4 linked regions of the Saccharomyces cerevisiae S288C genome follow. The gene in region 4 interacts genetically with the main gene of each other region. Each region holds a gene or a part of one and is shown on either strand. Other genes may lie near its edges.

What was found.
Region 1: mutations in MAD2 (region 4) and HCM1 together harm fitness more than expected from each alone (negative genetic interaction), as found in Saccharomyces cerevisiae (8 studies listed by BioGRID, with this or other methods).
Region 2: mutations in MAD2 (region 4) and CIN1 together harm fitness more than expected from each alone (negative genetic interaction), as found in Saccharomyces cerevisiae (8 studies listed by BioGRID, with this or other methods).
Region 3: mutations in MAD2 (region 4) and PAC10 are lethal when combined (synthetic lethality), as found in Saccharomyces cerevisiae (5 studies listed by BioGRID, with this or other methods).

What each region holds. Positions count from the first base shown.
Region 1 is NC_001135.5:225,531-233,090, forward strand, and holds HCM1 (Hcm1p), read left to right. Parts: upstream 1-3,779; coding exon 3,780-5,474; downstream 5,475-7,560. Other genes in the region: TVS1 (Tvs1p), read left to right, coding at 33-1,928; U2 snRNP complex subunit BUD31, read left to right, coding at 2,788-3,261; E3 ubiquitin-protein ligase RAD18, read left to right, coding at 5,970-7,433. UniProt on the Saccharomyces cerevisiae protein: Transcription factor regulating the cell cycle specific transcription of a spindle pole body (SPB) calmodulin binding protein SPC110. Required for full induction of SPC110 transcription in late G1. Binds to DNA consensus sequence 5'-[AT]AA[TC]AAACAA[AT]-3'.
Region 2 is NC_001147.6:987,818-997,193, forward strand, and holds CIN1 (Cin1p), read left to right. Parts: upstream 1-1,971; coding exon 1,972-5,016; downstream 5,017-9,376. Other genes in the region: proline permease PUT4, read right to left, coding at 1-965; MNE1 (Mne1p), read right to left, coding at 5,047-7,038; serine/threonine protein kinase MEK1, read right to left, coding at 7,201-8,694.
Region 3 is NC_001139.9:635,412-642,259, reverse strand, and holds PAC10 (tubulin-binding prefolding complex subunit PAC10), read left to right. Parts: upstream 1-1,888; coding exon 1,889-2,488; downstream 2,489-6,848. Other genes in the region: twinfilin TWF1, read right to left, coding at 1-250; YGR079W (uncharacterized protein), read right to left, coding at 428-1,540; PEX8 (Pex8p), read left to right, coding at 2,747-4,516; mitochondrial 54S ribosomal protein mL59 MRPL25, read left to right, coding at 4,683-5,156; U4/U6-U5 snRNP complex subunit PRP38, read left to right, coding at 5,385-6,113; mRNA splicing protein SMD1, read right to left, coding at 6,108-6,548; UPF3 (Upf3p), read right to left, coding at 6,793-6,848. UniProt on the Saccharomyces cerevisiae protein: Binds specifically to cytosolic chaperonin (c-CPN) and transfers target proteins to it. Binds to nascent polypeptide chain and promotes folding in an environment in which there are many competing pathways for nonnative proteins.
Region 4 is NC_001142.9:386,132-392,607, forward strand, and holds MAD2 (spindle checkpoint protein MAD2), read left to right. Parts: upstream 1-1,525; coding exon 1,526-2,116; downstream 2,117-6,476. Other genes in the region: RNA-dependent ATPase HCA4, read left to right, coding at 1-18; Rab geranylgeranyltransferase BET4, read right to left, coding at 237-1,217, 1,305-1,307; VPS53 (Vps53p), read right to left, coding at 2,254-4,722; YJL028W (uncharacterized protein), read left to right, coding at 5,180-5,515; YJL027C (uncharacterized protein), read right to left, coding at 5,702-6,118; ribonucleotide-diphosphate reductase subunit RNR2, read left to right, coding at 6,273-6,476. UniProt on the Saccharomyces cerevisiae protein: Central component of the spindle assembly checkpoint which is a feedback control that prevents cells with incompletely assembled spindles from leaving mitosis. Thought to be recruited to unattached kinetochores by MAD1.

The sequences.
Region 1 (7,560 bases), on a different chromosome or scaffold from region 4:
ATACCCCAACCAAAAACAAAATAGTGAGAGTAATGGTGCGTTTTGTTTCAATTTTAAGTTTATTCGGCTGCGCGGCGACGCTTGTCACGGCCCATGATGACATGGACATGGACATGGATATGGACATGGATATGGACATGAATATCGATACGACAACGTCTCAATCCATAGATGTCTCATCCACGGCTTCAATCGTCCCCGTGCCACATGAACCAAAACATTTGCATGGCCTTCCTATACTGCAATCGCCCTCGCTTACCCCTGCGGAGAGATTGTACTGGGAAAACTACAACACCACAACCTACTTTACTACACAGGCTGGGAATAGGTCTGCCCTTCGCTACCACATTATTACGCTGCTCTTGGTTGCATTTGTGCTCTACCCTGTGTCCCTGGCGCTAAGCGCCGCCCGTTCTAGGTGGTACTTACCCCTGCTGTTTGTTAATCTATGCATTTGTATTTCGTCCGTAATGGCATTGTCCGTGTTCAAAAATACTTTCCCGGAAGAAGACTGGTATGCGCATAATATCTATGGCACCACTTCTGTGCTACTTCTCGTTTTTATGCTTGTTCACTTCTTCGCTGCGGTGCTTTCTGTCCCCGTCTCATTAGCATCGAAAAAGGAGTACCGTCCGGTTGACACCATCCCTCTGAATGATCTTGAATCTACGCCCGTCATGGTGAATAGTGCACGTGGCTCTCCAAGTCCTTCTTCCAACAGAGACACGTTGTTCTCGCTCTCTTCAGACACCACGACCGCCACGGCCACCAATAATAATAAACGGAGACGCGCTGAAGGCGAAGACGAGGGTGATAACACCTCCAACCACGACACTTTGCGCGACGAAGACTACGATAATGATGACGACGAAATTGCTTCCATTGAAGCGCCACCTCTGCTTCCTCAAGACATACCCGTTTTCCGAATCTTGTTTACCAACACGAAGTACCAGATGCTTGCCGCGCACCTCTCGTGCGTCGCCAACGTGGTCTTTCACATGCTTACCTACCCGCTATTCATGTACATCTTTGTAGACCTAATCATCGGCTTCGCTGTAGGTAACTTGCTCGGCAAGGGCATCCGCATCTTTAATCTCTTGGCCCACTGGATTAAGGGCGGCGTATTTTTTACTCTGGGCGTTGTCTCTTTAGCAAGATACTGCGGTTTCGCAGCTAAGTACGGCTGGGCATGGAACAACATCAGCTTCACCTCTCAACTCACACAAACGCGTTCCTCCAATCTTCTTTTCCGGTTTGCTCCTGCGGGGACTTTCACCATGGAATTCGTTGAATCCTTCCTCATTTTCTTTTACGGGTCCACCAACATCTTCTTGGAGCACCTGGCAGGAAACGGCGGCGCATGGACTGCCAAGGATTTACAGCATGTGTCGATCGCGTTTATGTTCATAGGAACCGGATTGTGTGGGCTACTCACGGAGTACAAGCTCAACCATTGGCGATTCGAGCATGCCCGCAAACGGCCACAGACCGATGTAGTTGCTGCCACACCGGGGTACTCTCCAAACCCGTTCCCCGCTTTCACCATATTTTGGACTGGGATTCTGATGTCCCAGCACGCACAGTCCTCGCAATTTTCTACTACCATTCACACGCAATGGGGATACTTGTTGTCCTATGGGTCCTTCTTCCGTCTGCTAACATTTTTGATTCTGTTTTTGGTGCCCAACACCAACAGTGCCGCATCCAAGCCTTTCACGGAGTTGATCACCTCGTTCTGTCTCCTCTGTGGTGGTCTGGTATTTATGGAGTCCACGGATCAGTCCATTGAAGCCATGGAATATAGGGGGTTTACCCCCATGTTCACTTTCAACCTCAGTGTTGGATTCGTTTCTTTGTTGATGGCTTGGGAAATGATTTTATTTATTTGGAAAGACTGGCTCATCAAAACCAGGAAAACCAGTCTTTAACCGCCATAATGGCTTTTCTTTTTTCTTTTTTTTTTCACCCCCCCCTCATCTTTGAGTGAGAAGCTTATATGCTTTACTTTTCCTCACCTACTTTTTAATTCTTAATTATTAGTTTATCCAGCATTCAGTCAATTCTGAATGCGTTATCGCTTCCTCAAAATTTATAAAAATGAATAAGCAAGATCTCATTGGAATTGAGTTCAATGACGATTATTGAGGGCCCATACCTGATAAAAGTGAATATATTATGTATAATGACTCTACTGGAGGTTCTCTCTGAGAATGTAAAATAATCCACAAAAGACATGAAAATTAGTTACTCTACATAATGTATAATAAGTTCTTCCTTCCTTTTTTCTTTTTTTAGTTTTTCTACTCACCATCCTACCTACGCCAAGCTGCTCTACTGTCTTGGATCTGTGAAAAAACGCCTAGAAACATGTATAAAACCTACCGCTTTAAACCATAATTTCAAATCGAAATGGCACTATGGCCGAGTGGTTAAGGCGAGAGACTCGAATGGAATAAAAAGTTCGGCTATCTCTTGGGCTCTGCCCGCGCTGGTTCAAATCCTGCTGGTGTCGTTTAATTTTTTTTAAATAACATCGTTGATTAAAACAATCCTATTCACTGCAGTCACAGACTTAGCACATTTACAACCAGTACAAGATCAATCACACGCGTTGTGGTAGGAACTTTGACGATGATACTGCGTTGGCTCTTGAACGCATAGTACATTTGTCGTTCACAACGGAAAGTGAAATACTGAAAAAAAAAGAAAAATTTTCTTAGGGACTCATCATCAATGTAAACACCTCTACAGCCGTCAAGACTAGCAAAGCTCACCTCACAAAACGACATGCCGCGCATAAAGACCAGAAGATCCAAGCCTGCACCTGACGGGTTCGAAAAAATCAAGCCAACCCTCACAGATTTCGAAATCCAACTCAGAGATGCCCAAAAGGACAAGTCGTCTAAGCTCGCAGCAAAGTCCAATGAGCAGCTCTGGGAGATAATGCAACTCCACCACCAGCGCTCTAGATACATATATACTCTGTACTACAAGAGAAAGGCCATCTCCAAAGACCTTTACGATTGGTTGATAAAGGAAAAGTATGCTGATAAATTGCTAATTGCCAAATGGCGCAAAACCGGGTATGAAAAACTGTGCTGTCTGCGCTGCATTCAAAAGAACGAAACTAACAACGGTAGCACTTGCATCTGCAGGGTGCCTCGTGCACAGTTAGAGGAAGAAGCACGCAAAAAGGGCACACAGGTGTCCTTCCATCAGTGCGTCCACTGCGGCTGCCGTGGATGTGCAAGCACAGACTAACGACTATATGCACGTTGCAGTATTGTTCTGGCCATGTAATTATCTCTCTCCCAACGTTTTAGAAGAGGTTTTCGTCTCCTTCGTCAAAGACGACCACTTTCCCATTTTGGTCATTGGAACGCGAAAAAACAAAACAGACGCGAGAACGCGACGCGAAAAAATATATTTTTCCGTTTTTTTTTTTTTTCGGAACAAAGATAACGCGTTAAAACCTGTGGATGTAATAAGGATCTGAAACACTGACTAAAACGCGTCCTCATTTAAAATCAAAAAATTACTTCTTCTCCTCCCTTACGGTGCCCTTTGATCCTTCTCAAACTTTAAATATATGTTGCATGATTAATTGAAAATCATATAGAGTATATCTTAACAGAGGTTCCAACGCTTTAAATCGTATTCTATTCTTTTCCCCCCTTTTATTATAGTTACATCTACTATTTGAGCTTCTTTTATTGACCGAAACTACCTCTTATTTCGAAGCAAAAAAAAAAAAAATCAACAAAAATTCCAACTTTTCAATGATGAATGAAGACATATCCATCATTGATGGCCATAATAGTTTTTTAACGGAAAAAAGCACCGTGCTATTAACCCAAGCCAAGAGAACACTAGAAGACGAAAAGGAAATGATTACTCCCCCGAGCTCAACTGTGAGAAAAACAATGAAGGAAGTAAATAAGAGGCCGTCGCATCCCCTCTCACCGGATCACTCGTCCCCAATTGCTCCATCTAAGGCCAAGCGCCAAAGATCGGACACATGCGCTCGGTCCAATGGTAACCTAACCTTGGAAGAAATTCTTCAATCTTTGGAAAGAAGAAGAATAAATGGTGAACTCGCCAAGAAACCTCCATATTCGTATGCAACTTTGATTTGCTTGGCCATTTTGCAATCTCAGGAGGGAAAGCTAACGCTATCCCAGATATATCATTGGATCCACGTTCACTTCCCTTATTACAAGCAGAAAGATGCTAGTTGGCAAAATTCAATAAGACATAACTTGTCTTTAAATGATGCGTTCATCAAGACTGAAAAGTCCTGCGATGGTAAGGGTCATTTCTGGGAGGTCAGACCGGGTGCCGAAACAAAATTTTTCAAAGGTGAAAATCGTGGTTATGAATTTGTAAAGGACTCCTTACAAGACATTGGGAAGTATTTTGAAATAGATTCTACACTTGATGAATTAGAACAAGTTGAGAGTGGAGAAGGCAATGATGATCTTCCTGACGAGGAAGAAAGAGAGGAAGCAGGGAAATTCCCTTCCATTGAAATTCAATTGAACTCCTCCCCTATACTGAGAGTTTCCCAGTTACATCACATACCGCAATTGAAAACAGACAACAGTGTACTGAACCCTCACGAAAACCTAGAATCGATGCGGAACATGATAGAAAACGATGTCAACAATATAGATTCCTTGGAACCTCCTTATGTCATGAAGAAATATCATACTTCTTTAGGCTTACCGTCGCTGGTGAATGCCAAAGATCATTTCCAGGCGGGTGTGAAAAACAATAATATCACCCAGGCAAATAGATTTAATACACTCCCTATAACTAGCGCAAAGTCTCCTCAGAATTTCAGAAAATATTTCACCTCATTCAATTCAAATTTTGAAGATTTATCTCCACTTCGAAGTAATGTAGGGGCTGGTTCTCTACTCGACCCACTTCCGTATTCCCCATTGAAGCTGTACGATCAGAAAAATCTTGCGCTCATGTCGAAACCACAATCTCAGCAATCATATTCCAATTCTCAACTTCCACCTCCACCTTCCTCTCATGGTTCGGACTTACTTAAAACACCCAAGATGAGGCATTCCGATGGCTTAGAGAAAACCCCATCGCGGTTGATAAGCACACCTAAGGACGGTAACTCGATTTTGAGGAAATGGCAGACTCCTTCACACCTTTTTGAAGATTTGTACTGTTCTCCGCTATTTAGAGCTATAGAGACTCCAATCAGGTATATCACGACGCCGGGGGGCACTTTGGAAACCCAAATTTCACCAAGAAAGTCCTCTGCACCCGATGTCCTCACAAGCGCAACGAATTCCAAATTTGCTTCAAGCGGGCTGTTTGGCGTGGATGTTTATTCTGTTTGGAAGCGCGCAACTGAAAAGATTTCTGATGGTAACAATACTACGGATAGCAATCAAAAACATCATCCTTATCATAATCACCCTTCCAACGATAGCGGTAATGAAAAGAATTGACTTTTTTTTTTTTTTTTTTTCATTTTCTTTTCCTCACCGAAAACTAATTATTCTTAATCTGATGGATTCATCGCAAACGGTTGGATGAGTCCTAAACTGGGCTGGAGTTATCATATCACATAGCATTTTCTTTTTAATCTTATTGTATTGTCGGGTCAACTAACTTCTTTTCCCGCTCTTCTATGGTATAATCAATTGCAGAAGAGGCAGGAAAAAATTGTAATCATAACAAAAATGATACAAATTTTTTTTCTAAGTTTTATATTTTACATATCTTTATTTTTGATCCTTACGGATTTTTAATACAGTATTTAGCTGAAGTTTCCATTCACTTCACTTACCTTTTTGATCTCTTTTATTTTTACTTGCCCCGTTGCCTTGCATTTTTCAATAGAAAGTGAAAAACTAAGTACCACTTGAGCAATGCCACATTAGAAGAAAAACCATCCGCAAGTGAGCATCACAGCTACTAAGAAAAGGCCATTTTTACTACTCATGGACCACCAAATAACCACTGCAAGCGACTTCACGACTACTTCAATACCGAGCCTGTACCAATTGGATACACTTTTGAGATGTCACATTTGTAAAGATTTTCTAAAAGTCCCCGTCTTAACACCTTGTGGCCATACATTTTGTTCCCTTTGTATTAGAACACATTTGAATAACCAACCAAATTGTCCTCTCTGCCTTTTCGAGTTCAGAGAGTCCTTGCTGAGAAGTGAGTTCCTGGTCAGTGAAATAATTCAAAGTTATACATCCCTACGATCTTCCTTACTAGATGCACTAAGGATACCGAAGCCTACCCCTGTCCCTGAGAATGAGGAAGTACCAGGTCCTGAAAATTCTTCATGGATAGAACTCATATCAGAGTCTGAAAGTGACAGTGTAAATGCCGCTGATGATGACTTGCAAATTGTTGCAACAAGTGAAAGAAAACTTGCCAAAAGATCCATGACTGATATATTACCACTGAGTTCCAAACCATCCAAAAGGAATTTTGCAATGTTCAGAAGTGAACGTATCAAGAAAAAATCAAAGCCAAATGAACAAATGGCCCAGTGCCCCATATGTCAACAATTTTATCCTCTTAAAGCCCTTGAAAAAACACATTTGGATGAATGCCTAACTTTACAATCACTAGGCAAAAAACCAAAAATTTCTACCACTTTCCCTACAGAGTCAAATCCACATAACAAAAGTTCATCCAGATTCAAGGTACGAACTCCAGAAGTCGACAAAAGCTCATGTGGTGAGACCTCACATGTGGATAAGTATTTAAACTCAATGATGAGTGCAGAACACCAAAGATTGCCGAAGATCAATTTTACGTCTATGACTCAATCCCAAATAAAACAAAAACTGTCATCGTTGGGACTGTCAACTAATGGTACTAGGCAAAACATGATTAAAAGATACAATCACTACGAAATGCTTTGGAATTCTAATTTTTGTGATTCTCTAGAACCTGTTGATGAAGCTGAACTAAAAAGACAGTTGTTAAGCTGGGATGTTTCACACAATAAAACCCCCCAAAATAGTAGCAACAAGGGTGGAATTTCTAAATTAATGATAATGAAGAGTAATGGGAAATCTTCTTCATATAGGAAATTACTTGAAAATTTCAAAAACGATAAATTTAATAGGAAAGGATGGATGGTTATGTTTCGGAAGGATTTTGCTAGGCTTATCAGGGAAGCAAAAATGAAAATAAAAACAGGTTCATCGGACAGTTCAGGTTCAGTGGGACATTCTAATGATGGAGATGGTGTTGAAAAAGTTCAAAGTGACCAGGGAACCGAGGATCAGCAAATGGAGAAGGATCAGGACACTGTTATCAACGAAGATAGAGTTGCTGGTGAAAGAAATTTGCCTAACGAAGATTCAACTGATGCTGACTTATCAAGAGAATTAATGGACTTGAATGAATATAGTAAAGACCCACCCGGTAACAATTAAGGTGTGTATATGTAATCAGGCCTGTTTGTTAGCTTGTGCACATTTGTTAATTAATAATTTATTTAAAAATGGGCAAAATATAAATGCATAAAAGATGACATAGAGATATGTGCACAAAGCTATGTAA
Region 2 (9,376 bases), on a different chromosome or scaffold from region 4:
GCGAAGGCGCCCTTGATAATCCCAGTGTAGATATCTGTGAAGTTACCCAGCGATCCGCCCGTGAGGTGATGCGCAAAAGCGCCCGGATGTTGCCAGTATCTGAAGCCAAGACGGTCATGGTTGGGGCCACCACCCCAAAACAAAATAAAGGACAGAATGATCAGTCCCACAATGCATAATATCTTGATAGACGCGAACCAAAACTCGGATTCGCCGTACACTTTGACCGCGGAAAAGTTTAGTATAACAACCACGCATAGAAAGATCGTGATCCAAACGCCCTTGGGAACCGCGGTGGTCCAGTATTCGACCACACCGGATGCCGCCGTACACTCGGCGGCCACTAAAATGACGTAGCAGTAGAAGTAATTCCACCCAGTGGCGAAGCCCAACGAAGGGTCAACGTACCTAGTGACCAGATTGGCCGTCGACCCGGCACTGTCAGAACCATCACCGGGCAAAAAGCACACCATTTCGCCCAGCGCGCACATGATCGGGTAGATCACCGCGGAAATAATAATGTACGATATGAACAGCCCCGCGGGACCGCACGTATGAAGCGTGGATGAAGTCCCCACCAGCAAACCGGTACCGATGGCGCCGCCCAGCGCGATCAGTTGCACATGGCGCGACTGCAAACCTTGTTTTAGTTTGTGCGGCTCGCTATCGCCATCGACGGAGGGCGATTTCTCCAAGTCCACGTCCATAATCAAATCCTCGCGGATGGTGCCGTTGGACGACGCGGACTGGTTCTTAGATATTTTCTCCATACGGATGGCGTCATCTTTTTCATTGTCGCTGCGATGATTATTGCGCGACCCGGACGATGGTGATTCCGTTACCTGGACAACATCCTCCTCCTTCTTGGTGTCGCCGCCGCTACCGTCGCCGCTAACATCGTCCGCGCAGGTGACGACTCCCGCGCTGTGTCTATTGTTCTTGTGGAAGGGCAGTATATTTACCATGATTTATTCATTGATGGTGTGATTCTTCGAAACAGCAAAGAATAAAAGAAACTGGAAGGGAAGAGAGAAAAAAAAAGGAAAGGAAGAGGAACACAAACCCCCTATATATATATAGAAGTACATCAGTCTACAAATATTCGAGTGTATAAGTATGTATATACATATATGTTTATGCGTCTGTATCAGTACATGGATGGAGATATGCTGTGCCTACATTCATGGAATATTCAGATTGGGGCATGTACATAAACAGACATAATTAGTATTTTGGCCGTAGGTCCTGCCCTACCCTGCAAGGTTCTTCTTGTTATCAGCACTGGATGGAGGGGTGAAGCAGATAAAACCCCGGTGTAGTTGGCGATAGGCAGAGTGCAGGCACGATGATAGCGAGGGGTTGAAAACGTCCCATTTTCCTTTGATAGGAAATATCGGGCAGAAGTTGAAAAGCGACAAAAGCGACAGGCACACGCGAACCGGCTAGGCCACCCAAACGTCATAGCTAGCGCAATGAAAAAAACTAACGTCGCTTCCCTTTTGGTTTGATGATGTTTCAACTCGCAGCGCGGGTACCCGGGCTGCCGGAACAAAGCCGTGCAAGTAGCGGCTGTCGTCACGCACCATGGGTACCATCTTGTGCCGTGCCGTGCTACCTCAGATTTAGGACCCTGGAGATTTGGCAGACATGACAAGCAATTTTGACAAACTTGTGACAAGATTTGAACCGCGCGGGAATTCACATTGCAGTATGGACGGACATCCGGCCATCGCGCGCGGGCCCGGTATTTGATCTCCGTTTTAGAAGCACAGAAAAAAATAATATGATGTTATGATGTTTAATAGATGGATTCATATCGTCCGGGTAAAAACGCTTTTGGAGAAATCAAGGAAAATCGCCGAGATCACTAGGAAATACTATTACTATTGAAAAAAAAAAAAAGAAAAAAAAAGGAAAGACGATAATATTTTTGGAAAGAACGCCACCACACGCACTTTACACCCTTCAATCATGAACAATATTCGGGCCTTGCTGGACTCGATACAATCTGGAGTTCAGACCGTTTCTCCAGAAAAGCACCAACAGACGATTGCCGCGATCAACAAATTTCAAGATGATCCTGCACTTCTAGACACCATACTACCGAGATGCGTGCCTCTTTTGACCAAGTCGTTCTTTTGTATGTCACAGCGTGATCAGAAACTTGTTGCGGAGCTTTTCTACAATCTTGACAAGATCTCCCACTCAAAAGTCCTTAAATCATTAGATACAAGTATTTTTAGATTAAACGAAATTTTAAACTATTTACAAGATCGAGCCTCGCCCTCTTCTTTCAGCGATGTCTTGTGCGTCTATCTAAACCTTTCTTGGCTAAGCGTCATTCTGCTTTCACCTTACGCATTCAAAGATAAATTCAACAAAACGCTTCAAGTATCTTCCAGGTTCGAGAACTACCCCATTTGCATACCTCCAATTAACAAGATCAAAGCCGTTTTATATTTCAAAAACTTCACAGATGCCTTTGACCAGCTACCGGAACGGGAACAGGCAAATGTGCCGTTTCTCAACCAATTTTTAAAGCTGTTTATTCAGTCTTCGGAAAAGGCAAACTACTACTTCTCCAATGAAAATCTAAGACACTTACAACAAGTTGCACTGTCCAATGACGGAATAAAGCTGCTGCCAAAATTATTCCAGATTTCGTTCAATCATGGCTCTCATGATATCCTAGATGCTATAGTAGAATTCTTCCATGACCATTTAAGTTCGAATTCCACAGACACAAGATTCCAATTGGCACACTCCTTCGCTAAAATTGCCAAGTTCCTGCACCAGGCAGATCCAGCATCTTTTATCGAGCTCATTGATTATACCATCGAAAATACGGTTTCCCTATTACAGGCTCCTTGCGATTCTATCGATAGCAATGAGCTGCACACTTCCCTTCTGATCATCGCCGAGGTGGCTCTGGCCAAAATTCTGCCTATAGATCTAGTCGACCGCGTATTGACTCTGATCATCCCTAAAACATGTCATTTTCAGAAATCTCACTTTCAAATCATCAAGGGCCACCATATCAGGGACTCGACAAACTTCATTATCTGGTCAGTAATAAGGTCAAACCGTAGCAATAGTTTATCGCCGCAGGTTCTACAATCACTACTTTCTCATCTGTTAATAAACGCCTTTTTTGACCCCGAATTAATAATCAGATACTCGAGTTTTGCCGCGCTCCAAGAATTATTGGGCAGGTCCAACAAATCTCTTGCGCTAAATCAAAATGACATTGCTTTGATATTGCAAGCAAATTGGAAGGATCTACCGAGGTCTTTCGAGGAGAACTCTGGTCTAATTCGTAGGCTGTTCAACCCCGAAAACACCTCCAAAAGTGCTGTTTGCGTATGGAAGGTATTCCGCGATTGGTCCTTCAATTGGAATTTACTAGAGAATTTACATTTGACCACAATGAAACTCAACATAGATTATAACCTAGTTCCATTAATCAAGTCGAAATTATCTTCACCCGCTTTATTGCAAGAGGTATTAAACAAGGCTGGCAGCTCAGTTACACAAAATTGTCAAATTTTGTACTTGTACTTGAAACTATTCGAAAATGACGTAAATTGCCCGAAAATAAGCGAGATTTGTATCGACATTTACCAGAAAAAGATAAAATTCCAATTAACTACTCAAGCGAAAAGACAATTTAACGATAATTCGCCCGAACTGTTTCAAATTTTTGTCATTTTGAAATACTGGCAATTAACAGGACAAAATGATTTCAATCAGGAATTGTTTTGGAAATTTGTAGACATAGTATCCCCACAAAAGAAGTTAAATCTGTACAACGAATTCATCCCTATAATACAGCAAATAATATCTCAATGCGTTAGCCTAAACTACACAAGGATTGTTCAATTAATTAAATCAGATAACGAACTGACTTGCCGATCAATATGTCATATGCCCGATCAAGAAAAGATGTGTTCCCTTTTCTTCTCCCAGTTCCCCCTATTGTCACCTCAATCCAGATCGCTTTTGATAGGCGAACTTGATCATCATTGGGATGTTAGAATAAGCTTACTCCCGTCGAATTCGTATCGAAAATTTCGCAACATCATTATCAACTGTCTCGATGATTATACAATAACTCAACAGGGTGATGTAGGACGTCTGGTAAGAATACAGGCTTTAAAACTTATGCAATCCCATCCCGATTTCTTATCTGGTGATTGCGACTCCATCAATCCAAAATTAACGAGATTGCTGGCGGAACCTGTACCAGAGATCAGAAAACTAAGTTATCAATTACTTGCTTCGGCCACATCACAAATCACTGTGTTATCTGACTCTTCGATACTCAATTTCCGTCACAAGCAAGGTTTAAGTGAAGAATTCTGGAAAGGATATGCAGTGAGCGCTGGAGCAATACATTTTACAGATTCTCAGCTTACTTCATCAATAGATTCATTTATCGTATACTACAGATCTTTGTCTCCTTCACAACAGCTGGAATTATGCCACGATTTAATCAGAATAATTCCAAGCGCTAAACAAATCGCTGAATCAAGAATACGCGATCGTAACAAGGATCCATTAACAGGAGGTATGAGATTTGACACCATCAAATTCACCATTCATTGTGTAAAATTTTGGACTAGAATCATGGAATCTGGGTTGGTTGTTCTACATCCAAATTTTAATTTTCAGGGTGTTTTCGCCAAGTTCTATAACCTACATTTATTAGATTGTACGACATTGAGAGTAAGCGTGATCAAATTCTTCCCGTTCTTGGCAATATCTTGTTACCACACAATGAGAGAAAATGCTGACCAGAAGAATCTATCCAACATAATACTGAAAAGGTTGTTGGTTCTTGTGAAACGTGAATACGCCGCAACAAAATCAAAATTTATGACTGATCAAAATGTCGCTTTACAAGGTATGTTCCAGATATTTTTGGAATTAGGTGTCACCAGGCAACTCCAAGCTCTACAAGTGGCCTGCCAGAAACATGAATTGGCGAATATATTAGAGTCTGATATCACTTTATAGAATGTAAACGGCAAATTTTACATATAATCATTATTTTTGTTGCATTTGCTTAGATCTTATGTAAGAAAATAGATTTTCTACTCTCTTTGCATAGGATACATCCGCAGCAAAATTATATTCCGCATCATTTGCGGTAAATAAAGCTTCATTCCGCATTTCTTTATCTCTTTTTGCTTTAGATTTTTGGAAAATTTCTGAATCCATATGAAATAGAGTTTTTCGCTCCCCAAAAATTTTGCGCAATTCCATTATGTTTATTGGTTGAATGGTCCCTTTTTCTGACTTAAATGGTTTATTCTCAACATACCATTCGCCGACGTCATCTGTTATCTGCAAAACTCTATCGGTGTTTTCTTGTATATCAATTTCTAAGCTGGATAGCCATTCAGAAATTGCATCTCCGATTTGTATTGGCAACCTCCACGAAAACTTATCACTAAACTTATCGAAAAGAAAAAATTTGTGACTTTGTGTAACCAACAAATTATAGAAAGCAAAATAGAAAAAATCAGAATCAGAGTAGTTTTTGCAGACTTTCAACATCGAGAGAAAATCGTGGGAGGTAAATTGATAGCCGATTTCATTCAACTGGTTATACAATGCCAGTAGAGTAAGTTTGGTAGAAATATCTTGAGAGGCGCCATGAAAGAGGCAATGAAAAGTGGAATTTTCTTTGTTTCCAACTATATTATCTGTGAGTAATAATGGCTGCCATAAATTTTTTTCGTATACTATGTGCTCGACCAATGAAAGCATAAAATCGAAATCCTTGCGCACAGATAAGTGACACAGTAGCATATCAATAAAAAAAGCTCTTAAGGAATGCAGGTTGGACTCAGCCTGCATTTGGTCATCAACCTCCTTAATGTGCTTTTTCCATACTTCTAAGTTCAGAGGCAAATCACTTAATTTAAACGATAGAAATTGAAGAAATGAATCTTGCTTGAGAGGTTCGAAATTATCTTTTGATAAAATATGTATGCTCTGCTTCAAACTCACGTCAGTTGGTAATTTTTCAAGTCCGAATTGCCTAGTGACAGCGGTAGTTGATGATAATCCATTCATGGTTTCAATAACTTTGAGGCAAGAATGGTTCTGGGATAATTGTATCAAGTTGGAGGAATCATGCTGATCAAAATGAAAGTTCCATTCAGACAAGCTCCTTAAAATCTGACAAGCTTCATTCTCCATATTTTGTGCTATCATTACTTTTAGACTTTTGACTAGGCATGGACTAAATAACTCCAACAATTGAATAGCTCTTTCACGCTCCTTCGAACCTCTTAAACCAGAATCCGGTACACATGAGGATAAAATATCCAACATACTTGTCCATTGGGAGGTCTCCACATAAAATGCCAGCTGGGATAAATTGGCTAATAATTGACCCTCCGAATTTTCCGCGAACAACCGCTGTATTGCCCTTAAGTAGTAGTTCGATTGGGATTTAACAATTAAAAGAGTACAATTCCTCAAAAATTTTATGTTTGCCCGAAATTTTCCTTCTATAGTTAAAGATTTGGTTTTAAGAAAATAATAGCGATCCAATAATTGCAATGAAAATTTAGCTAGTGCAATTTTGTCATTTGCGGACCGAAGCGATAGTTTATAGAGCATATTAGATAGCTCATGATAAAATTCCAAAGGCAGCCGATCAGGTGGGAATGCATCAATCTGTCGGCCACTTTTATTTAGCCATTTTATGTGACCTGTGCCAATACGATTCAACAACGCAAAATACAAAGCAGGATTATCGGATGTACGAAGCTTCTGTAGAGTAGTCAGTACCACATTTAATCGTAAATTTACATTTTGGAGCTTATCTTCATTCAGTTTATCTTTTCTTGTTAGCGCATCCTTCAACCATTTATCAGTTATTGAGTTAGTTCTTTTGTTATTTGGTAAACGTTTATGCGATGATGGCTGTCGCCCTAGCTGTGGTAGTATTTCAGGAGTGATTAAAGAGTCCTTAATCAGCTTACCAATATGACTAGACGAATATCTTTTAAAAAGTAACTTCATATTCTTCTTGGCACACTACTATCATTTTTTCTCGCCGTTTCTAGTAGAAAAGGGCAACTTTTACTTAAAAATCATACAATTGACTTACTTTTTTTTTTTTACACAGATACCTTTTTATTTTGAACTACGCGCAGTTTGAAAGAGGAAGAGATAATCCTATGATTACTCCAAAACCTTCTTCTTTTTCGGTATTGCCTGAGAAATGATAACACTTTTGGGTAACTTCCTTTTCCAGTCTGAATTTATACTTTCTAGTTTAGGGCCTTCGTTATTGCACAATATCTTTTTGTAATATAATCTCTCTAATTGACTTAAGTGTTTTGCAATCCAAATATGTTTGAGACCTTGCTTACTATTTAATCGTTTAACTACGTCAGTTTGCAAAAGGTCTTTGACAAAACTCTTGGCATTATCTGAAACAATATCCCACTGCTTCAGTTTGAAATTCAGCTTCCCAATTTTTGCATTTTGAATAATACTCCTCTCAGAACCATCTCCATAAAAAGGCGAGATCCCTGTTAACATAATGTGTGTAATGACACCCAAAGACCAAAGATCACATTTACTGTCATAACCTCGTTGCTCTAACGTAGCTGCTCTTGAGAAGCTTTGATATGCTTTTCTGTTTGCTCTGAATCCAACTTCTGGAGCGCAGTATTCCGGAGTGCCTACGACAGTATGCATTCTTTCTTTGTTGGAATTTAAATCTTTAGCTATACCAAAGTCTGCCAAGACGATTCTAGTGCACGGTTCTGGCGTACATAACAAAATATTGTCTAGTTTCAAATCGCGGTGAACAATGTCTTGATCATGAAGGTAGTTTAAAGCTTGCAAAATTTGAAAGACGATCAATAGCGATTCAGTTTCTGACATGGAAGTTAGACAGTCGCCTTTAGCTAGGTAAGAAAACAAATCACCACCAGGGATAAGATCCTGGAATATGTAAAGGTGATTGTTCCTGTCACAGAAAGTATGGTAGACTTTGATAATATTTGGGTGATCCAGTCTCAAAAGGATTCGAGCCTCTTTATCGAATTTATTTGGTTTTAGTTTAATGATCTTCACAGCATAATTTTCAGGGTGATAACAGACATCTTCATCACGTTCTTTTGAGTTATGCGTGATCAGAACATGACCGAAAGTGCCATTACCCACTATTCTATTTGTTATTTCCCATTGGTCTACTTCCCTCAGAAAACCCATTTGATCTAAAAGTTTTGGGTCCAGAGAAGATTGTAAATCATCATTAATCATAAAAACTAGTCGTGTTTTTTTAATGTCATTTTCTTCACTTCCCTGCGATAATTCAATAACGTCGCAATGTTTTAAAAGATACGTTTTGTCCCTTTTCAAAAGCAAACCGTTCAAATACGTTCCATTAAGAGAACAATCTTTAACGTAGAACATTGGAATACTATCCTCATCAAAAAAGACACACCAAAACACGCAATGAACAGAGGAGATAGAGGGATTCGTTAGAACGAGTTGACATTCCTTATCATTTCTCCCAACTTTCACGAGCTGATGCTTTACTATAGGTATTGTCTGCTCTGTATTATAGCCGCCTACATTAACTTCCAGGTGAGCAGGAGCTACGCCACCTGCCATCTCAATATCATCTTTGGTTGCAAGGTTGCAGCTATACAACGGTCTCATTCCGCTCTTCTTCTTTCTGTTGTATATTTGGTCCTTAATAAAATTTGAAACGTACAAGAGCACTCCAGAAGGAGCTCAAGTAAAAAATTAGTCAAACCTCTCCCTTTTATACTTGAATGAATGAAATAGCCGCCGAAATTTAGCCGCCATCATTCTTCTTTTCCCCGGCTAAATTACCACGGTATGCTTTATGATTGGAAAATACCCATAAAGTAGGAATAAACTACAAATGATTCCACTTAATGAAAGATAAGCAGACAAATATACTGCATATAAGTGAAAAATAGTGAGGAGATCGCTATCAGTCAATATTGTGAAGGACCTACCTACTCTTTTTCTAGATATATATTTTTTATTTGCACAGGACCCCTCTTGCATAATTGTTCCTACTAATACGGTAGGTAGCACACAATTTTACACCACTTGCTTTACAATCATACCTCATAGGGCCTTCTTATTCTGATAATGCCCCTTTTAGAATGGCTAAACTGCTTACGTCCCGCTTTCTTACGCACTGCGCGCAACATGCAGGAAGAACAAACAACCTCGCCCTGTTTCCATAATGAAGGTCCTTGAAATAGAAGCCCCACAAAAGGGTGGAAATGTGGCAGAATAAACAGTAAGCTAACTGTTGTAGAGACTCCAAGCCCTGGTAAGGAAAGAAATATTATAAAAATAAAAG
Region 3 (6,848 bases), on a different chromosome or scaffold from region 4:
CATCGGGGATGAATGACACAAAGAAGTACTTATCAAGCCCTTCCGGCTTATAGAAGATGTACAACGGTTCTCTTTCTTGTGATGCCAACTGTACCAGCTCCTCGAAGCTACGTGCGACTTGCGTTTGATGTACCGAGGTAGAATCAGGGGAAATTTTGGCTATAATGATGACGATGCCATCTGCTGAAAGATTTTCATTCAGAGAATGCAGCAAGGCTTGTTCTGCGACTATACCGGATTGAGTAGACATGTGATGTGTTGAGATACAGAGTTCCTTCTTATTCAATTGCCTATCAAATTAGCCAACTTGTCCAAATAGTAAAAGATATAGATCTTATAATGACATATTTTTCAAATCCTACAAAAACAAGTTACCCTAACACTGTATAAAAAGAATCTATTTATTGTACTGTTAATAGTACTGTTATTACAACATGAATTCACCGATACCAAAACCAGCTGATAACGTCTGGCAAACACCACTCTTTCTTCTTATGGCCCTCTTCAACAGCTTATCTCTTTTAGACAAGGGTTTCCACTTTTTAGAAATTGCAGAGGATGAGCGCAGGGAATTCTTCAAAAACTTCCTTTTTTTCAAGGTGAACTTGCCCTCATTGTCTCTGTAGCACAATAACTTGATATTGTAGTCCAAATTATCAAGAAGGGAGGAAGATGGTGATGAAGATGGGGAGGGTTCCATGGCTTCAGCACTGTTGATATCATCTTTGATGAAGTCCTCTATTCCCAATGTGTCGTTCGAACTCGTGGTGGCGTCGCCTGGATGCAGAGCCACGAGGGAGCATTTTCTTTGTCTTGTCTCCTGCAGGCAAATGGCCTCTTCTGCAGTGCCATTTACTTCCTTCCAGAAGTCCGTATTATTTGCGTCACTCTTGCTATTGTCGCCGAAAAAGAATGATTGCTGTATCTGTGGTAGAAAGATACTGCTCTCGCTGCTATCGTGGAAATTATTCTTGTTGTGATTTTCCTCCATGGGTAGTTCATTGTCCGCACTGTAACTAAATGTGCTGTTGGTGAAGGAAGGCTGGTGGCATGGGGAGAAGAGAGGATCAGGCTCAGAACTATAGCCGAGCGTACTTTCGAGGTCGTCATCATCGTCATCATCGTGTAAATCTCCGTTTTGGGTGCCATCGTCCTCGGTGGCGTTCTCAGATAGTGAACCGGCAGTATCTATCGAACGAGCAGTGGTGATGATGATTGGGGTGGCCTCGACTGCACTGGCTGTGGTGTTTTTACCATCTGCTGTCCCGCGAGTGTCCGCTTTCTTTGTGTGCGATCTGGACAAGGGAGTAATATCCTCCTTGGTGATGACCTTATTCGGTACCTGAAATGCCTTGCTGCTTTTATTCATTGCTACGTAAACTATGCTATATGATACAAGTGAACGCTCGTCGAGGGAATAACTGCTGCGTGTGCGTGAACGAGTAAATGAATGAATGAATGAGTTAACACATGAAAACGAAGATAATCGCAAAACGACAATGAACAAATAAACACATCCCTCATTTGCGGCACTGCTCATCTCATCTCATCCTTTATATTAGGAGGCAACGAGCTTTCTCGCTCACCAAAAAGAAACGTGCGAAAAAAACCGAAAAATAAAAAAAAAAAAAAAAAAAAAAAAGAAACGCGCTGCAGGAACGTGACTTCCAAAAAAGGAAGGTGCCGTTCCAATATGGAAACCGCAGGCACTCATGATTGTGCAGGACGGGTAACACATGATTTGTTTCGTTTCTTCGATCATTTTGCAGAACTGGTCAGAAAAGAAAGTGAAAAAATCTAGTTTAACACTATTGTAGAGGCTATAAATTGTAGACAACATTTACTGCAGAAAACTGTACGCACATATATAACAGATACTACGGTTATTATGGACACACTGTTCAACTCCACGGAAAAGAATGCCAGAGGCATACCGCAGGCTCCATTCATCGAAAATGTCAACGAAATAATTAAGGACCCAAGCGACTTCGAATTGTGCTTCAATAAGTTCCAAGAACGGCTTTCTAAGTACAAATTTATGCAGGAATCTAAATTGGCTACGATAAAGCAGCTGAAGACTAGAATCCCGGACTTGGAAAACACATTAAAAATATGCCAAAGTCTGCGCAATCACAGCGACGAGGGCGATGAGAGCGATGAACCTATCCTGTTGCACTACCAATTGAACGACACGCTCTACACAAAGGCTCAGGTTGATATACCGGAAGATCGGGCGGATTTGAAAGTTGGGTTGTGGCTTGGCGCAGACGTGATGCTGGAATATCCCATCGACGAGGCCATAGAGTTGTTAAAGAAGAAACTCGCGGATTCCGAACAGTCTTTAACGGTGTCCACCGAGGACGTAGAGTTTTTGAGGGAAAATATCACGACAATGGAGGTCAATTGCGCGCGATTGTATAACTGGGACGTTCAGAGAAGGCAAGACTTGAAGCAGGCTCAAGAAGGGACTAAAAACCTCAAGATATAATGTGTCTGTAAATTTAAATCCAAAGAAAAATAAAGGGCACTACATAGAACAACACAATCAACCTACATAGCTCTCTTTTTTTTTTTTTTTTTTTTTTTCTTTTTTGTTTTTTCTCAATTTTCTTCATTTTTTGCATTGTTACTACTCTCCCATTAAGGGAAATTCTACCAGGAAAACCGAAGAAGACAAATGCAAAAGGGAAATATGAATACGCATGTATGCGCGCAAAACCGCACTTACAGAGGGCATTAGGACATTATGTTTGATCATGACGTCGAATATCTGATCACTGCACTCTCTTCCGAAACGAGGATCCAGTATGATCAACGCCTGCTAGACGAAATCGCGGCCAATGTGGTATACTACGTCCCAAGAGTCAAATCCCCCGACACTTTGTATCGCTTGGTCGGAGCACTTTTCCGATCGCAGTTCATTGTCCAATTACCACCACTACGCCTTTTGCACATCGTCAAAGATGTTTTCCTTTGGAAACTGGAAGTTTCTGAGCCCACGCTCCCAATTTCGAAGTTTTACTTGGTTTGGAATGCTGTTTTCGAATCTCACCGAGCCACGTGGAACCTTTCACAGTTGATGGTTTTGGATGGTGTACTAGTCACATACCCGAGCTTCAAACAATTGAACAACGCCTATTTTATTGATGAATCCAGCAACAAAACTGCGCTTTATTACAGAAACTGGAAATTACAACTGTTTTCACCAATATGGGCGCAGCTATGGAATACTGCCATTGTCAGGGCTAATTTATCGATTCAGCATTGCCTTCTGATAGCATTAGCTTTACTTTTTAATCAGTCAAACCGAAGCGCCCTTTTGCATGGAGTTGACGTATCATGGAATTTGGTCACAGAGAAACTATTGGACCTTTTGGAAGAGTATGTACACGGCATTGTGCAGCCGATGGAAATTTTTTCGACTGATTCAGTCTTATCAACCAACTTGAATCATTTGGCCAGTTGCTTGACCAGTTCAATCACGAGGTCAAATGAGGCAACTTTGGTAAATTCAGTACGCAAACTAGAAAGGATATGTCGATACTTGTCCGATACTGTGGCTTCGTTGAAAGAACAACAACTAGATTTCAAGTTCCAAAATGTATTTATCCTGATAATCCTCGCGTTAAAAGAATTATCCGCCATGAATATGACAATACTGCCTAACCATAAAGACACTTTTTATTCTATGATCTGTTTAAGCCTTTTCCACGTCCACGTATTGACTCAAAAAATCGGGACAGTCGGTTTTCCCAGTTACGATTATGTTTACGATAATTTAGTAACGTATTTCATTGTCATGGATGACTTGTCTAAAATCACTACAGTTTTGGAACTAATGAAAAGAAACAACACCAAACAAGATCCAAATAAATTAGTGTTTTACATCAATTTTCTAAACAAAATTACTAATTACTATGGGTGTCGCATTCGTTTGCCGTTTATTACTGAGTTTATCGAACCTTTACTGCATTTCGATGTATTTTTTAGCGGGAAGACGGGCAATACCTTGGATATTGAAATCAAAGAATCTATACACACATTGACAATCACTGTACTGTCTATAGACTCCTCTTATTCCTCACAGGTTGCACAATGGCAAGTATCCCGCATACTCGTCTATTTAAAGATGTCGATGGACCAATTTATTGCAGGTAAATTGTCCGCAAATCAAATTTTACTTATATTCGGCCATCTATCCACACAACTTCCCTCACTACATAATTATAACAAGCATTTGCTTAGGGACTCTTTGCACGAGACGTATATCAGAATTGTTAATGTAAAAAACCCAGAAAAGAAGAATGTATTGATTGAATGTCTGATTGTACAAATAGCCTTTATCAACAATCCTCATCATTTGATCGGCTGGTTGAACATCTGTCTCCAGCTAATCAATACACATAACAAAAAGCTACTTCAACAATTGTGGGAAATGGTTTCGAGTCTAGAATCCTCCCTAGCCATCGACTGGTGGTACACAACGGTCTTATCAAGTCAATCTTCTAAATTATAGTATCATTAAGTACTTTATAGTAGCGCCTTTTTATATTCCTTTTTTCTCAAACAAAAAAAAAAAATGACTGGGATACAAGTGAAAGTGGAAGAGCAAGTGAAATACGAAATAAAGTGAACCATTTATACAGAATAGGAAAACCAACTAGTGCATTAAACTAAACTCCATGTCATACAAACAGTATTTTGATAGTTTGCCTTTGAAATTGAAGTCCTTTTTCCAAAGATACCCCCCTTCAATCAAGTATTCTCCAGTGTCTACATCTACTAAAGCCATTAATGCCAATCCTTTCCTGCCAAATAAACATCCGGTCACACAACGATTTCATGATCCGAAATATTCACTTAGAAGAATGAGTGACGTATATAAGTTGGCACTGCGTTATGGAGTAGAAGAGTTTTTACCACCGATCGAAAACACTAAGAAACTTTTCTTCGAGGAGAAATACAATAAAAAGACCCTCATGAAAGGTGTTCTCTTGCCCAAGGGTCATAAGCATGAATTGAAATTAAACGAAAAGCTAAAAAAACGTGAAGAAGCTTTAAAGAAGGTAGATGAGTTGATTGCTTCCAAGAAGGGTTCGAAGTATGCCAAGAGAGTAGAAAAAATGAAAAAAAACCAAAGTATAGGCTGGTTCTGAAGAATAAGAGAGAAGATAACTATAGTTTAGAATAGTAAACCCTATGTGTACTGTTTTATGTTTTTAATGTCTAATCATGTAAATAATTTTGTGATATCAATAACGAACGTTCTGAACAAGAATTATGATAAAAAAAAGTAAAATCTAAAGCCATTACAACGCTATATTTTCAGTGGCAGTAAAAACGCAAGAACAAAAACAAAACGTGGGTAAAGAACAAGGACTACAATGGCTGTCAATGAATTTCAAGTGGAGTCTAACATCTCTCCAAAACAACTGAATAACCAGTCAGTGTCACTTGTTATTCCTCGGTTGACAAGAGATAAAATTCATAATTCAATGTACTATAAAGTAAATCTAAGCAACGAATCTTTGAGAGGCAATACAATGGTAGAGCTTTTGAAAGTTATGATTGGCGCATTTGGTACCATAAAAGGTCAAAATGGTCATTTACACATGATGGTTCTCGGTGGCATTGAGTTTAAATGCATCTTAATGAAGTTAATCGAAATCAGACCGAATTTCCAGCAGTTGAACTTCTTATTGAATGTAAAAAATGAGAACGGTTTTGACTCGAAATATATTATTGCTTTGCTTCTGGTTTATGCGCGGTTACAGTATTATTATTTGAATGGCAATAACAAAAACGATGATGATGAAAATGATTTGATAAAGTTATTTAAAGTACAATTATACAAATATTCACAGCATTATTTCAAACTAAAAAGTTTCCCACTACAAGTAGACTGCTTTGCTCACTCCTATAACGAAGAACTTTGTATAATACACATTGATGAATTAGTCGATTGGTTGGCCACACAGGACCATATCTGGGGTATTCCATTAGGGAAATGTCAATGGAATAAAATATACAACTCTGATGAAGAGAGTAGTTCTAGCGAAAGCGAAAGTAATGGTGACAGTGAAGATGACAACGACACCAGCAGCGAATCATAGACCTCTTCTTGGCCTTTTATTCGCTGGTGCACCAAAATCGCGCCTTCTCTTTTTGCTGGGGTCATTTGCAATTTGACCCGATCTTCTTAGGGAATTAAGTTGCTTTTGGTCAACCAAAAGTGAATCCAGGTTCAAGGAATCAGGTAAGATTATCTGTCTTATGGTATTGCCTCTAATGTTTATGTATTGCAAACTTGCTATGTTGTCACTTGCAGTAGGTTGCTGTCCTCCAGTCAAGTACAGACTAGCCATCGCAATACCATTACTGTTCAATTTATTTAGTCGGGGTTGTGGTAGGGTCAACTTCACGTCAGTTAAGATAGCATTCATTTGTGGTGATACCGACTGCAGTGTACCCCAAACGGTGGTACCGTTTTTTAGTTCTATGGTAACCTGCTCATTGCGCAGCTTTTTTAAAAAGTTAACCAACTTCATAATCTTTTTCTCGACGATTTATAAACGATACTTGGAGTCATCTTTCTTCATGACAATTTCATTGTATATGAACATTTCATATATTTTATTATTTTAAATATTCATTGAAAAATCATTAAATACGAAACTCAGAATTTATAATGGGGAATACTTTATGTAATAATATAATCATAAAATATATAATTCTTATTATTTTATTATAAATGTATTCCATATATAATATATAAGAAGCCATGAGCTTTTACTACTTCTTGGTATCATCACGATGCAAAATTTTTACCCGTGGTACGAAAAGGTTTT
Region 4 (6,476 bases):
AAATTAATCCAGGGTTAAACCCTCCTGCATAGTCTAACCTATAGTATTTAGAACTTGTATACATCTATTCTCTACACTAATATACTTATTTCTTTGTTCAAATCATCGGTAATATTACAATAAAAGAAAAATATGCATATACTTTCGTGCATTGAAGGTGTCAAATGAAATCCCGCTTATAGTGAACAGGCTTCCATCATATATACATATATATATATGTTTATATATGTATATCATCACTTATGCTGCTCCAGGAGATGTAGGTATCTATTCTTTCTTAACGGATCCGCATCTATTAATTGGACCAAATATTGTTCCGAGCTTCTTTCCGTTAGAGCTTCCTTTTCTTCCAGAATATCTTCGAGAACTAATAAAATTTTCAAGCACCAAATATTTTGCTTCCCGGAAAATTCAATTTCGTCATTATTTATTAACAGAATGTTTTCTCTCAAGTCTTTCAACATTTTAAGGTACTCTTGTTCGTCCAGAGTTTTACAAACAATGTCGTTTTTAATGAACCACTTGATATAAAACCATACGGATTGGTCTTCGGCGTCGGTAAACATAGCGTTGATGATATAAGATATTTCAGTCCGAATATACTCCTTTTGATTCCCAACCTCTCCTTTCTGAAACATTCTGCTTATGATCTGTACTCTTTGGTGCCATGCAGAATAATTTGAAATGTTATTGTTAATCTTTATTGTTGTGTATTCAAACTCCTCCTTGTCAAGACTTTTATTAGTGATACTCTCTATGTTACCAACAACTATTCTGCGGTAATGCCATCCGTGGTAATTTCTTGCATCTTGTTCCAATAACTTATTCACGACAGCAAGTTCAGTTTGCCACACTTTAGGGGAACTCGTAGGATAATGTTTCAAGACCCAAAGTCTGTGATTCCATATCCAATAGACTTTGGGGTAATCCTTCAATAGCATCATTACAAAAACTAACTCTTTATCCCAGAAAGGTATTTCCAACTCAGAAGCCAAACTCGCTATAATATCCCTTCTGTAATTCCAAATAGCATTAAATTCCGGATTTTTCTCAAGAAGTTCTGATGTTTTCTTCAGAGCTTCAATTGAGTAAATTTTTTCATCTCTCATATTCAAAACATTTTCAGTCAAGCTTCTATAATCATATATTTTCTTTTCGTCTTGAACTCTCTTTTGTCTCAGTAATTCCTTGGTCCACTGTTTCCTTTTAATGCCATGCTGTTTAATGTGGCAAATATAAAAAATTGCTTGGTAGTCAGTAAAAAAAAGAATTCATAATGTAACGAACATTTGAAGTGCACATACCATTGCTGACCTACTGCTTTATAGTATAAATTCAGTATACTAGGTATATGTGGCTCAAAAATGTGGTTTTTTTCTTTTTTGCCTTTAATTTTTTTCAAATGTTTACGTATGGTTTATGATTTAACATTTCAAGAATAGAAATCGCCCCGAAGAATGATTGATGTTAAATACTCGTACAAGAGTATTGAAAACCACTTCAAAGGGGCCCAATAGCACATTTAATGTCACAATCAATATCACTAAAGGGTTCAACAAGGACAGTTACAGAATTTTTCGAGTACAGCATTAATTCCATTTTGTACCAAAGAGGCGTATACCCAGCAGAAGATTTCGTAACGGTGAAAAAGTACGATCTTACGTTACTAAAGACACATGATGATGAACTGAAAGATTACATTCGGAAAATTCTTCTACAAGTTCACAGGTGGCTTCTTGGTGGAAAATGCAATCAATTAGTATTATGTATTGTAGACAAGGATGAGGGAGAGGTGGTGGAAAGATGGTCCTTCAATGTGCAACACATTTCTGGCAATAGCAACGGGCAGGATGATGTTGTAGATTTAAATACAACACAATCACAAATCAGAGCTTTAATCAGGCAAATCACCTCAAGCGTTACCTTTCTGCCCGAACTAACAAAAGAAGGTGGGTACACATTCACAGTACTTGCATATACAGACGCGGATGCTAAAGTTCCGTTAGAATGGGCCGACTCCAATAGTAAAGAGATACCTGATGGTGAAGTAGTTCAATTCAAAACATTCTCTACCAACGATCATAAAGTTGGTGCGCAGGTCAGCTATAAATATTAATAGAATTCAAGTCAAAAAAAAAAAAAAAGACGGAAGTCCAAAAAAATCTCGTTTTCGATGTTTAGAAAGAATATAGATTTATGAACTATATTATACTATACTACGTACTTCCTCTGTAAACCACTTCATGCGTTTTTTCAAGTGCCTCTGTTAAAGAACCTTGAGTGAGAAACGAAGTCTTTGACACTCAAACTTTGCTTTTTTTGTTCTTCTTTTTGTTGTTGTATTTGAGGGGTGGATACTATCCTCTTCATAACAGGTGGTGATATTTTCAGATCTTGCCTCACAAATTTTGACCAATTCGGATCTTGCATCCTTGCCAAGTTGTTTTCAAATTGACCCAAAAGTACCTTGTCCCACTTGAATATGAAAAGATCGCGATTACTGTCTGGCCTGCTGCCCTCGTCAGTGTCGTCTGTTTCTAAGTTGTAGGCACTCCATAGCTTTTTCCATAATGCCAGGTCCCATGGAATGCCCTTTAAAGCGAGGACAAAAGACCATACCGCTGAATCAGGGTTATTATTGGTCAATTTGGAGTAGGTCTCGTAATAGTCATCAGCGGAATCCAGAGGAGCCATTAGAAGTTTAATAAACTTCAGCAGCTGGTCTATATTATTGTCTGCATGTCTTTTCACCCTCTTATAAGAGGTATTTTCTCGCAAGTCAGAATCGTTACTTACACTTTCTGGTAAAGTGTGAAAAATCTCCTTCAGCAATTCTAAATCAAGGAGAAGCTGCTCGCCAATGTTGACAACAGTTCTGGTTTCAAATTTCCTTTTGCTGCCCGCCAGGGAAAAGGGTGGAACGGGCTGCAGAAGGCGGATGGTATTGCTTACAAAATTTGTAGTGATGATATCAATCACCTTATCCAAGAAATTCCACTTATAAACATCTCTATTGAATTGCGACAAAATAAATGCCAAAGTCGAAGGTTGCTCTTGCTGTTGTTTAATAGAGGCATCTGTTAATGCGGGCATTTTAAGTACGGATTTGAGGGTTACCATGTACCTGCTATAATCTTCTATCGCAGCATTTGACCAATCATTGTTGATAAACTCTCTCCATACAAAATTTAGATCTAAGGGTATGACACGGTTTAATAGAAAAGAAGTTCCTTTTGCTAGTAAATCGTCGTATATATTTTTCGTTTTCGTAAAACTGTTTGCCAGCTTTTCACGATTACCGCTGAATTCAGATAATTTATCCTCCAATTGATCTATAGTCGTGGCACAATAATCTGCAGTATTGATCAATAAAACGGTATACTTGGCAGCTTCTAGCTTATCCTGGACTTCAATATTGTCGGGCAGCAGTAAAGGAAGAAGAATTTTTTGTGAGTAAGTTTGAAGCCATCTACTGAAAAAATTTGCCAATGAAGTCAATATGCTATCATTGGCATTATTATCAATGAGCTCTAAGGTCTGAGTCAGTACGGAACGATATGTCCTGAAAAGGTCTGCACTCGAGGGTAACACGAGAGATTCTGTTTCATTAGATGGGTACTTCGGCTCACTCATATAAGAAAGAAATTTCTTTTCCATCATTTGGTTTTGGTGAGACACCCATAAAGTCAAATAAGGTTCGAAGCAGGAACTTAGTTTTGGTTCCTTAATTTTTTTTGAAAATCGTACGTCGATGTATTTTTCGAAATCTAGCGTCGATTGTAATGCTGTCATGAATAGATCAATGGAAGGGTTCTTGTCTTTGAATTCCCTTTTCAGAAGTGTCTGAAGGTCCTTGTGTGTAATGTGATAAAAAGTGGTGGTCAATCTGACTGCCATTTCCCAGTCTTTTAAGAAATAGTCTGCGAACTTTGAATTGAAGTTATTAAGAATTTTTTTGAAGTAAATGTATCTTCTCGATAAATTTTCTAGGGATCCGGCTTCATCGTCGACCCTAAATATCTCTTTCATTTCGAAGAGAAGTTTGTCCAAACACCAATCTATCATCTGGGCTCTCGTACTTGTATCGCAGTCGAGTAGCTCGCAGGCACCTTCGCGCAATTCCATAGTGAGTGCTGTATCATGCTCTGAGATATTGCCGCCGGAAAAGAGCGCATTGTAGTTTTGTTTAATTTTGGACAAAGTGTCTCCTTTCAGTCTTGAAATGGAGCTCAACAAATAGTTTATCTCGTCCAATGATTTGTAAGAGATGAATGTGTTTTCAGCAAGCGAACACATTATCTTATAAGGGGACACCATTTTTTTGAATGAGCCCTGTGAGAGTAATTCATTGCATTGTATGTAACTGTCTGTCAATATCTTTAAATTTTGGAAAAGAGTCAAAGAGTGGGTGAGGTTTTTCTTGGCAATGTCCAGGTACGAGATACCTTCTGTCAGATTCGATATCGTCAACTCGGTGGAGGCTGAGACATCTTGAGTTTCTTTGAAATCTTGGAAAACTTTCCTCAGAGAAGCCTCTATTTCAGCGGAATTTTTAGGGTGTTCCTTCAATTCATTCTCTTCTTTGAGAATATCCTCTTGCAATTGCTTTTTGTAGCTTCTGGTAATACTGATCAGTTCATCTATGTTGTTCAGGGATTCTTTTGAAAAAAGTATATTGGTAATATCTTCCAGCGGGTCATAATCTACCGTACCTTCCAGCATTGTCCTTCTGAGAAAACAAAAATGGAAGATGTTGTGAAAATGCAGTAAGTGACAATAAGCTAGCGACTTTTCAATGATCGCAGATTAAGTATATATACACTTTAGGTCTCCTTCTCTTCTTTACTAGCTACGAAAAAACAAAGAAAAAAAAAACAAAATAGAGGGAAAAAAGATATACGTATAAAAATATGCTCCAGGGGAGGTTCGAACTCTCGACCTTCAGATTATGAGACTGACGCTCTTCCTACTGAGCTACTGAAGCACTATTTCTTGTTCCAACCGAGGAATAATACTAGACCTGTAGAAAAGTACCGCTTATCTAATATCCAACTTTTTCTTCTGTTCCCTTTAGTGAATTCAAGATGAAGGAACATAACAGAACGGAAAACAAAAAAAAAGGGAAGAAAAAAGATATCACCACCAATTGGCACGCTCGCAACGGTTTCGGGCCAGATTCATGGCCCTGTGGGGTAGAAGTGCCTACAGACAAAAAACCGTTACGTCCCGCCTCACCAAGCATCGACACACAAGCCCTCTCAACCTCCTTAATTTCTTTATCTTTTTTTCCCTTCACCTCTGTGCTCTTTTTTTAGCCACAGCTGTGCATTACGCTTGCTTTGCTTGTTTTGTTCTCTTTCGCCATGCCATATTACTACTTTTCTACTTACTGGCACGAGGCCGCGCAAGCCAGATCCAAGCACGCCAGAAAGTGCGGTGTACTGGTGCAACCTTTTATCGATTTCTCATCATATCGCTATCGCAACGGGCATGGGCGACGAAAAAGCCAATCTAAAGCGTTGTCTTCCTCGTTCCTCGCGCACGCGATTTTGCGTTCTGCATAGGAAGCCGAAGTCGAACAAGAAGCAGGCAAAGTTTAGAGCACTGCCCCTCCGCACTCAAAAAAGAAAAAACTAGGAGGAAAATAAAATTCTCAACCACACAAACACATAAACACATACAAATACAAATACAAGCTTATTTACTTGACATCGCGCGATCTTCCACTATTCAGCGCCGTCCGCCCTCTCTCGTGTTTTTTGTTTACGCGACAACTATGCGAAATCCGGAGCAACGGGCAACCGTTTGGGGAAAGACCACACCCACGCGCGATCGCCATGGCAACGAGGTCGCACACGCCCCACACCCAGACCTCCCTGCGAGCGGGCATGGGTACAATGTCCCCGTTGCCACAGAGACCACTTCGTAGCACAGCGCAGAGCGTAGCGTGTTGTTGCTGCTGACAAAAGAAAATTTTTCTTAGCAAAGCAAAGGAGGGGAAGCACGGGCAGATAGCACCGTACCATACCCTTGGAAACTCGAAATGAACGAAGCAGGAAATGAGAGAATGAGAGTTTTGTAGGTATATATAGCGGTAGTGTTTGCGCGTTACCATCATCTTCTGGATCTATCTATTGTTCTTTTCCTCATCACTTTCCCCTTTTTCGCTCTTCTTCTTGTCTTTTATTTCTTTCTTTTTTTTAATTGTTCCCTCGATTGGCTATCTACCAAAGAATCCAAACTTAATACACGTATTTATTTGTCCAATTACCATGCCTAAAGAGACCCCTTCCAAAGCTGCTGCCGATGCATTGTCCGACTTGGAAATCAAAGATTCCAAGTCCAACCTTAACAAGGAATTGGAGACATTGAGAGAGGAAAACAGAGTAAAGTCAGACATGCTTAAGGAGAAATTGAGCAAGGACGCTGAAAATCACAAGGCTTACTTGAAATCTCATCAAGTTCACCGTCACAAA